Linked DNA regions of Bombyx mori. The protein of the gene in region 1 purifies or fractionates together with the protein of each later gene. This does not show direct contact. Links are inferred from orthologs where the notes say so. Each region holds a gene or a part of one and is shown in the gene's direction. Other genes may lie near its edges.

Evidence for each region.
Region 2: the proteins of PHD finger protein 14 (region 1) and high mobility group protein 20A purify together in Homo sapiens (affinity purification with mass spectrometry; 3 studies listed by BioGRID and IntAct, counting the BioPlex papers as one, with this or other methods). This does not show direct contact. The link is inferred for Bombyx mori from reciprocal best matches to the Homo sapiens genes PHF14 and HMG20A.

The regions. Positions count from the first base shown.
Region 1 is NC_085115.1:7,808,776-7,813,017, forward strand, and holds the start of PHD finger protein 14, read left to right. Parts: upstream 1-1,442; 5' UTR 1,443-1,518; coding exon 1,519-1,522; intron 1,523-1,695; coding exon 1,696-1,860; intron 1,861-2,328; coding exon 2,329-2,459; intron 2,460-2,836; coding exon 2,837-2,948; intron 2,949-3,302; coding exon 3,303-3,431; intron 3,432-3,657; coding exon 3,658-3,740; intron 3,741-3,896; coding exon 3,897-4,051; intron 4,052-4,242. UniProt on the Homo sapiens protein: Histone-binding protein. Binds preferentially to unmodified histone H3 but can also bind to a lesser extent to histone H3 trimethylated at 'Lys-9' (H3K9me3) as well as to histone H3 monomethylated at 'Lys-27' (H3K27ac) and trimethylated at 'Lys-27' (H3K27me3).
Region 2 is NC_085114.1:10,481,919-10,486,044, reverse strand, and holds the start of high mobility group protein 20A, read left to right. Parts: upstream 1-1,326; 5' UTR 1,327-1,475; coding exon 1,476-1,749; intron 1,750-1,843; coding exon 1,844-2,003; intron 2,004-2,102; coding exon 2,103-2,236; intron 2,237-3,226; coding exon 3,227-3,333; intron 3,334-3,450; coding exon 3,451-3,558; intron 3,559-3,909; coding exon 3,910-4,069; intron 4,070-4,126. UniProt on the Homo sapiens protein: Plays a role in neuronal differentiation as chromatin-associated protein. Acts as inhibitor of HMG20B. Overcomes the repressive effects of the neuronal silencer REST and induces the activation of neuronal-specific genes.

The DNA.
Region 1 (4,242 bases):
CAACAAATATTAGGTAATCCAACAAATGTTCCGCATGGCATCAATTACAAAGCAAATTTCTAACTTTACAATTATGATATTAGATTTGGAGTTAATCGGCAAAGATTACTGCTTTAAATAGGTTTGGGAAAAAGCTCTGGAAAGCTCTATTTTCACTGTTTTACTCTTTGTAGCCATCGTGAAGACTATAATGACCACTACTACATTTAAGTAGAAATACTTCAACCTATTTGGAAGAAGTCGAAAAGAAAAGGAGAAAATGGAAAAATTTTCATTATTTCTTTTCTTTTTTTACTTCCTCCAAATAAGTTGAAGTCTTCTATATAAATGTGTTAGTGGCCTTTTTATTCGCCATAATGTCGCCACGCTGTATGAAATCTCATTATTTTATTAAAAATTTTTATTTTGTAGTAAGGGAAAAATATTTAAAATTTTCAACAAATTTGGAAATGTTAACAATGCGGTAGATATTGTTTCTGATTGCGTAACATCCTCTTGAAGCACTGGTCATTTACCTGAAATCGTTATTGGTTGTTTTGTTTGAGGAATATCTGATGATAGCTTCTATAAATGCGGGCTTTACGATCGAGATACACTTTTACATATTAATATCAGTCTCCTGTGCTGATTATGATTCTCGTTTTTGACTAGATGCGACCGGTGTAGGGTGGCTTTAGCAACGGTTTTACAGAGTCATCTTGTAAAAAAATTTGAAAGGTATTGGATGAATCTTTGGACACAAAAAATCGTCGTTCTGTGTGGTGGGAAGTTGGATTTATTTAAGCCATATTTTATTAAAAACGCCACTAGGTACCACATCTAGGTAGTGAACTTTTTAGTTGCTACGCATTAACAAGGTGAATGAAGTATCGTTACTAGGCCACAAAAGTAAAAAAAGAAAGTTAATAAATTTTTTAGCGTTTCAGGTTTAGAACTTAGAACGGTGTTATGTTTGTTGTTCTTATTGGGCGGTTCTATTTGAAGGGATCGGGTTCTGGAGGTGAGAAGCTGTTTAAAAACACTTTGCTTCATGGTTAACATATATTGCAAACACACTGTACACTATTAAACCATTACAATATTTTATTTTTATAAAATCCTAAGATGCTGCACTGTCCGTGTCTAGATGAGAAGTCTTTGTCTTCACTGAAGAGAAGACAATCATCTGTTTTAAATATTTAAATAAACATTCCAATATACGAAAACTGTAATCTTACATGTGTCAAGTGTTGCCTGCCATTACTTACATATTCAAATTCCAACAGTTCATATACGAAATGTAGGTATACCATAGGGTATTTTTCAGGCCGTCGTTGTTTCTCATGAGAAATAATCTTAGTGGCTACGTTAAATATTTTCCTAATTCTAAATATCACGATATTTTTATCACAGCTCACAAGCCGGAACTAATCATAGATGATACACCATGTGTCACCTAGCTACTCTCAATTTGAAACTAATCTGTGAAGTACACATTGTGCCATAGATTATACACTTAATTGTGCTTTGTGCGACAAGATGGGTAAGCTTCATAATTTTTGAAATAGAATTTAAACATTTATTTAATTTTGATTGCGTCGACTTCATAAACGCTGATGCTCGAGCCTACTTAGAATTAGAATGCTAAAATCAATATGTTAGGTTCATACATTAAAATTCAATTTTGTTTATGTTTTGCTTGCTCGTTTTTCACAGAAGATCGAGGTCCAGCTAAGAGAAAAGTAAAACCAGTAGAGCCTCAATCGTTGCTAGATTTTGACCTCGAAGAAGGCGAAAGCTCAGATGATTCTGACTTTCGTATTGAAGATCATCCAGAAGAGAGTGATGATTATTCCATCAATAGTGATGATGACGATAAAAGTAAGTGGCTTGTAAAGTATTTTTTATAAATTATTCAAAACGCCTCCTTTAATTTGTTCTTCTTGTTCAACCTTAAGTCTCCCAATGGGGAGTAGGATCTTATTTAATGGATAAATATGTGATTTCGGATCCTTTCGTGTCGTTCATGGTGCTTTTAGGCATTCCAAGCACTGGTCACCGTTCACGTCGAACCCGTCGTATGCGATGAAGAGTTCCTTGTGAAAATGGACCCACAGACAGCTCATTGAGTTTCTCACCAGATCTTCTCAATGGGCCGCAATTCCTATCTGGTGGAATATTTAGCAAAGCACTGCTTTTGTTAGGACAGATGTTAGTAAAGTCTCCCAGGCTGAGGCCTGTGAGCTTGCTACACGTTCAGTGAAGCTAGCATCTTGAAGTTGCTAGTAATAGGTAGGCAAAAAAAGAGTCTAAACACATTATTTTATTTACTCCCCTGGGATTGTATAGAGTATGAAAAGAATGCTTCTGAAGAGGAAACTGGATCAGATGATGATGACTTCAAAGGGTCTAGCAATAAGATTGGAGAAGAAGCTTCAGCTATAGATGTTCTTGAGAAAGCTAAAAAGCATGAGTTTAAGGTAATTAGTATGTTATAATATATAATGTAAAAAAAAACTTTTATTGAATTCAAAATTTGAAAATACTGGCTATAAAAGAGTTGATCATGAGTGGTAGAAAATATCCAGGGAATATAGATCTATGGTCAGATGAAATTAGAATAAAATTTTATGATAAAAAATATAAATTATTAGTATTATAGTTAAATTTTAAAGATTAATTAACTTACAGTTTTAGCTTTTAAGACTATTACAATCTTTTTTTAGAGCCAGACAGCAAAACATAATGATTCACCTAATTATGTTTTAGATTTAAAAAAATCGTACTATATTTTTTCTGTAAAGTACTATTAAATTTTCATTGTATATGAATACCTTACCAATATGTTGCTATGTAGTTTCCAGGTGAACTAGCTAATCTCTTGATTTGTGCTGGGTGCCTAGGCTCTCGAAGTGATGACTTCAATGAAATTGTTGAGTGTGATGGTTGTGGTGTTACTGTTCATGAGGGTAAATAATTTAGTTATTTTTTGCACACATATAAACTCATCAAATAATTCTATACTAAATATGAACAAAAAAGTGAAAATTATTTTATTGATTCATTCTACAGCCACCAGCCGGTCTAGTATAATTAATATATAAAAAGAGCATTATTGCTTCTATTATAAATTGATTCCAGTACGGCTAACTTTTATGACAATGGATAAAATTATTCAGACTGTATTTATAAACCCCTTGTCTTCAATGCTCATGCTTAAATTTTTTAAATTACAGGTCATTGATTATAATTGAAAGTTAACTTAATCTACATACATTTTTTTAAAGTATTCCAAATCAATTTTAGTTATTAATACATTTCAGGCTGTTATGGTGTTTCTGATGTGACTAGTGAATCAAGTACAGTTAGTTCAGCATCTACTGAACCATGGTTTTGTGAAGCTTGTAAGGCTGGTGTCACCGATCCCAACTGTGAATTATGCCCTAACAAAGGTACAAATTTTAATTGTTTGTTGATAGAAACAAAGTTTCGAAACTTACATTTATGTTTCACTCACAAGCTAACTATACAATGATTATTCTGTTAAATTCTTGATTGAATTACGTTGATTCTTGAGACCACTGAATAGTAATTTAAAAAAAGAAATTTGTACATTTTGCTGGACTTATTTCATTTCATCTCGTAAAGTAAATAGATAAATAATAAATAAAACAACAGGTGGGATTTTCAAGGAGACTGAAGTGGGTGCTTGGGTGCATTTGGTTTGTGCACTCTACGTCCCTGGGGTTGCATTTTCAGAGGTAAGTTATAAATAAATATTTACCATAGTGACATATTATTTTAAAAATTCTTCGATTTAAAATAAATCTTCTTTACTAATAAAATTTGAATGTTCCAGCTAGTAAATTAAATCCCAAATTACCTTAGAAAAGTGGAGATGATGTTTTTTATTTCAGGTAGAACGTTTATCAGGTGTGACTCTTTTCGAAATGGCTTATTCTCGTTGGGGAGCACGTTCTTGCGCACTATGTGAAGACGTGACTCTGGCACGTACAGGAGTGTGTGTGGGATGCGATGCTGGCTTGTGTAAAACATTCTTCCATGTAACTTGGTAAATTAATTTAACTTTAATTATTACTTGTAACAGTACAATGAGTAAAGAGCTTGCAAGATCATTATAATCTTATAAATTTATATATATTTTTGATAAGCATAATTCGCCCATTCCCCTGGTTATAATATTATCAGACATATTTAAATTTAAATATTTGACTATAGTGAGGTCAATTTGGGGCTGATAGT
Region 2 (4,126 bases), on another chromosome or scaffold:
TAAAAGTTGCTACACTGATTTTATAAAGTTGTCGTTTGTCGCAAAACATAAAGATATGGCGTAGTTCAAGCCATCAGCCCATTTCTAGCATGCTAAATGTTATCGTATTTTGAGTATGTGTTTTTCTTAGACTATAACAATCTATTTTAATTGTTTTGCTGACTCTAAAGTCCGTAACATACTACCGCAATGCACCCCAAGGAAGGTGCGCCGCACCATTTGAATCACTTTCGCTTGAGAGTGATTCAAATTTTAAACTTATCAAGGGACCGCGTGAAAAAAAAAACACCTACAGAACATTTATTCATTAATTACAAACGTCATTCCTTGTGACTTCCTCTCTAAAATCACTTAATTATTAAATATTTAACAAATTTACAATAGTGTTTTACTCACTGCGGAATAAAACTATTTTAGTTAAATAGTTCCGAAGAGATTTTGTCGGTAACCTTTTTCCCGAAATATCTAAACAGAATGTCTAAATATGTTTTGATGACATATTTTAAAGTGGTATTTATGATTAGTGTCATGATGAATAGATTATTAAGTGTATAATCTATGGTGTCATGATCAATAGATTCCGACCGAAAAATGGATTTTTCGGATGAGGGCTCCATAATGAATTTAAATACATATAGATAATAGTTTTAGGGCATCGACTTTCTTGAGATCCTATAAAATACGTTTTAATTATTATTTTTGTATGTTTTAAGCATGATAAATTATGAAATTTTATATAATCAATCATATTAAATCGATATCAAAGTCAATAAATAATGTACAACCCAAAACAGACGGCCGAACTGACGTGACAATGACATTTGGCGCGCTAAACATGGCGGATTTTCGGCCTCATTAGACGGAGACGGAGATATTTACGTATATTCATGTTTCATTTTATGTACGCACTGAAATACTGTTATATTGTTTTCCTGCGAGTTAAAGTGCTGAGTAAGAACGAGATAGATATATGTTTATGTATGTGCCTTCAAAATGGGTGCTATTTATATAAGCAATTGTACGTATAGAACAATATGTCGTGTCCCTACTATATAGGTCTATGGGATATATTCACTTCTCTGTCTCTCTATCTCTCTCTTACATTTGACTCATATCAATTAATTATTAATATTAAAAGAAAATCAGTTAAAAATAAAAAAATCAGGTAAAATATTAATCAAATTATATATGGAAATTACCTATGCTGAAGCTTAGTTGGGCATTATGCCGCATAATGCGCTCTTGTGCTGTGATTGGAAAACAGGGGATAAATTCAAATAAGACTTGACCTAAAGGTCTTAGTTACCAGATCGTAAAATCCCTTAAAAAAGTTAAGTGTTTAATCTATGGTGCTGAGGGTTTTGCTTTGTTTACCTATCTATACCTATTTTCTACTTAGTTTAAACCAAAATCCGATATTAAAGTGTTTAAGTATAGTTATTGTATTGTGTTGGATGTATTGAAGTAAAACAACAATGGAAAGCGATTCTTTAAAATCGGACGTTGTAAATACAGTGAATTCAGAAGTGCAGCCTATTAATATTGAAAAAGACCCGAAACCTGTGACCACTGACTCAAGCTTGACTCAAGTGCCTATAGTATCTAATGTTCATGTGCTTGCTGAAACGCCCGTTGCGATTGACACGGCGGGTGCTTTAAAAGAAGTTCCAAAAACATCACCTAAAAAGCCCAAAAAAAGAAAACCCAAAGCAGCTCGCGATACAACTGCACCCCGTCAACCTCTCACAGGTTTAGCTCTTATTTTAGATGTCTTATTTTTACTTAATTCCTTATTAAAATCTTTTATTTACAATTTTAAGACAAACGAATATTCATATTTAAGGTTATGTAAGATTTTTAAATGAGAGAAGAGATCAGTTGCGAGCACAACAGCCAGATTTGGGTTTTGCAGAATTGACCAGACAGTTAGCTAGCGAGTGGAGTAGACTTCCAGCTGAAGAAAAACAACAATACTTAGATGCTGCAGATCAGGATAAAGAAAGGTTAATCATTAATCAAGTACCTAATTTAAATTTCATGAGATGTAAATAATATATATTTGAAATTATTTTAAATACGAATAGTGTATTTTAAATTAACAGATATGTTAAAGAATGTGCGGAATACAAAAGAACAAATGCTTATAAAGAGTTCACAAAACAACAATCTGATCTGCAAGATGGTAGCTTATCAAAGAAGTTACGGCAGGTTCCTCAAGTAGACGCTTCAGTTTCTGGTAAATCCAATATTCTTTTAAAATTTTCTTTTTTCTTTTCTTTTTACGAAGTCGTCGTGGCCTAAAGGTTAAGACGAATGGTGCATTTGTATCGAGTGATGCACCGGTGTTCGAATCCCGCAGGCGGGTACCAATTTTTCTAATGAAATACGTACTTAACAAATGTTCACGATCGACTTCCACGGTGAAGGAATAACATCGTGCAATAAAAATCAAACCCGCAAAATTATAATTTGCGTAATTACTGGTGGTAGAACCTCTTGTGAGTCCGCACGGGTAGGTACCACCGCCCTGCCGATATCTGCCGTGAAGCAGTAATACGTTTCGGTTTGAAGGGTGGGGCAGCCGTTGTGACTATACTGAGACCTTAAAACTATATCTCAAGGTGTGTGGCGCATGTGCGTTGTAGATGTTTATGGGCTCCAGTAACCACTTAACACCAGGTGGGCTGTGAGCTCGTCCACATATATAAGCAATAAAAAAAAAAATCAATAGAGAACCATATAATCCATAAAAAATATTAGGCGCAACAATTTCTCAAAAACAAGACCAAGCATACGTCTGGTATTACGATCTTGCATGAAGAATCTAGCACATTAGTTTGATGGTTAGGACAGCTGTTATACAATACAATTGTAGTAGCATTTAGACATCCATGTTTACGTCTCTAGCCATATAAACCTACATGAGCCGTGAGCTCATTTGCTCTTTTTATAAAGAAAATAGTGCCATTTGTACCTTACATGAGATTAATTCATAGTAACATTAATATTAAATTCAGTTTAAGGGGAGCTCTTTAAGCATTCATACAGATAGGCATTACATGCTTGCAAAACTAGATGTTGTAATACAATGTTAAAAAATGTTGAATATTGAAGTACACTAAAATTTCACTATTACGTAATATATATATAAAATTAATCCAGCAACTTATTTGATGAAAAAAGTGCTTTGACAAAAAACTAACAATACTTACACTTACTCTTATAGGGGGTACCCAACCAGGAGAAAGTACAGTGTATAGTGCTTCTACAACAAACATGTCTTCACGTCAGACTACCCCACCAAGACCAAGACCATGTATTAATCCTACATCTGTAAGTTCTGCAGTTTATATTGTCAGCATAAAAAGCATAAAGAATTGTTGAATACCTACTTAAATTCAAATTGGAAGGTAAACAAAGTTTTGTAAAGTAGTAAATTTATTGTTACAGGGTGAAATGGAAATACCAATCTTCACAGATCAATTTCTGCAACATAACAAACTGAGAGAATCTGAGTTAAGACAATTAAGAAAGGCAAATTCAGATTACGAACAGCAGGTAAATGGAGCATGAATGGTCCAGCAGCTTTCTATGAGTATTTAATAGCATATTATGATGACTGACTGGCACTCACTGGTACCACCATCTTACCTATTTGGTAGGAGCTAGTGGTCATGGACTCTTGTTTGAAAGATAGAACTTCAGCCATATTTACAATTTTCAAGATGGGTGTTGTTATTCACTTCTATGTCTCTCGGCTTCCTATTTGTTGACAGATGGCCTGTCCTACCAAAAAATATGTACACCACAATATTTATTGTTATTTATACTTCAATCTTACCAAGCACTAAAATGGTGCTTATATAGATAATGATTAAAAATTTTATACATATTTTGTACTTACATCAGAATGCAATCTTACATCGTCACGCAGAAGAGGTAAGCGGCGCTACATCGAAACTCAGAGCTGAAACAGCTGCAGCAGCTGAAAGGACTGCTGCTTTGCTTGCTCATAAACGTAGTCTGGTCGCAGCCTTAGTGCAAGGTCTTCAGACATTAGCTTTACCAGGTAGTCAATGTGTAATTATTCAACACTAATTTTATTGAGTAAATTGTCATTTTATGT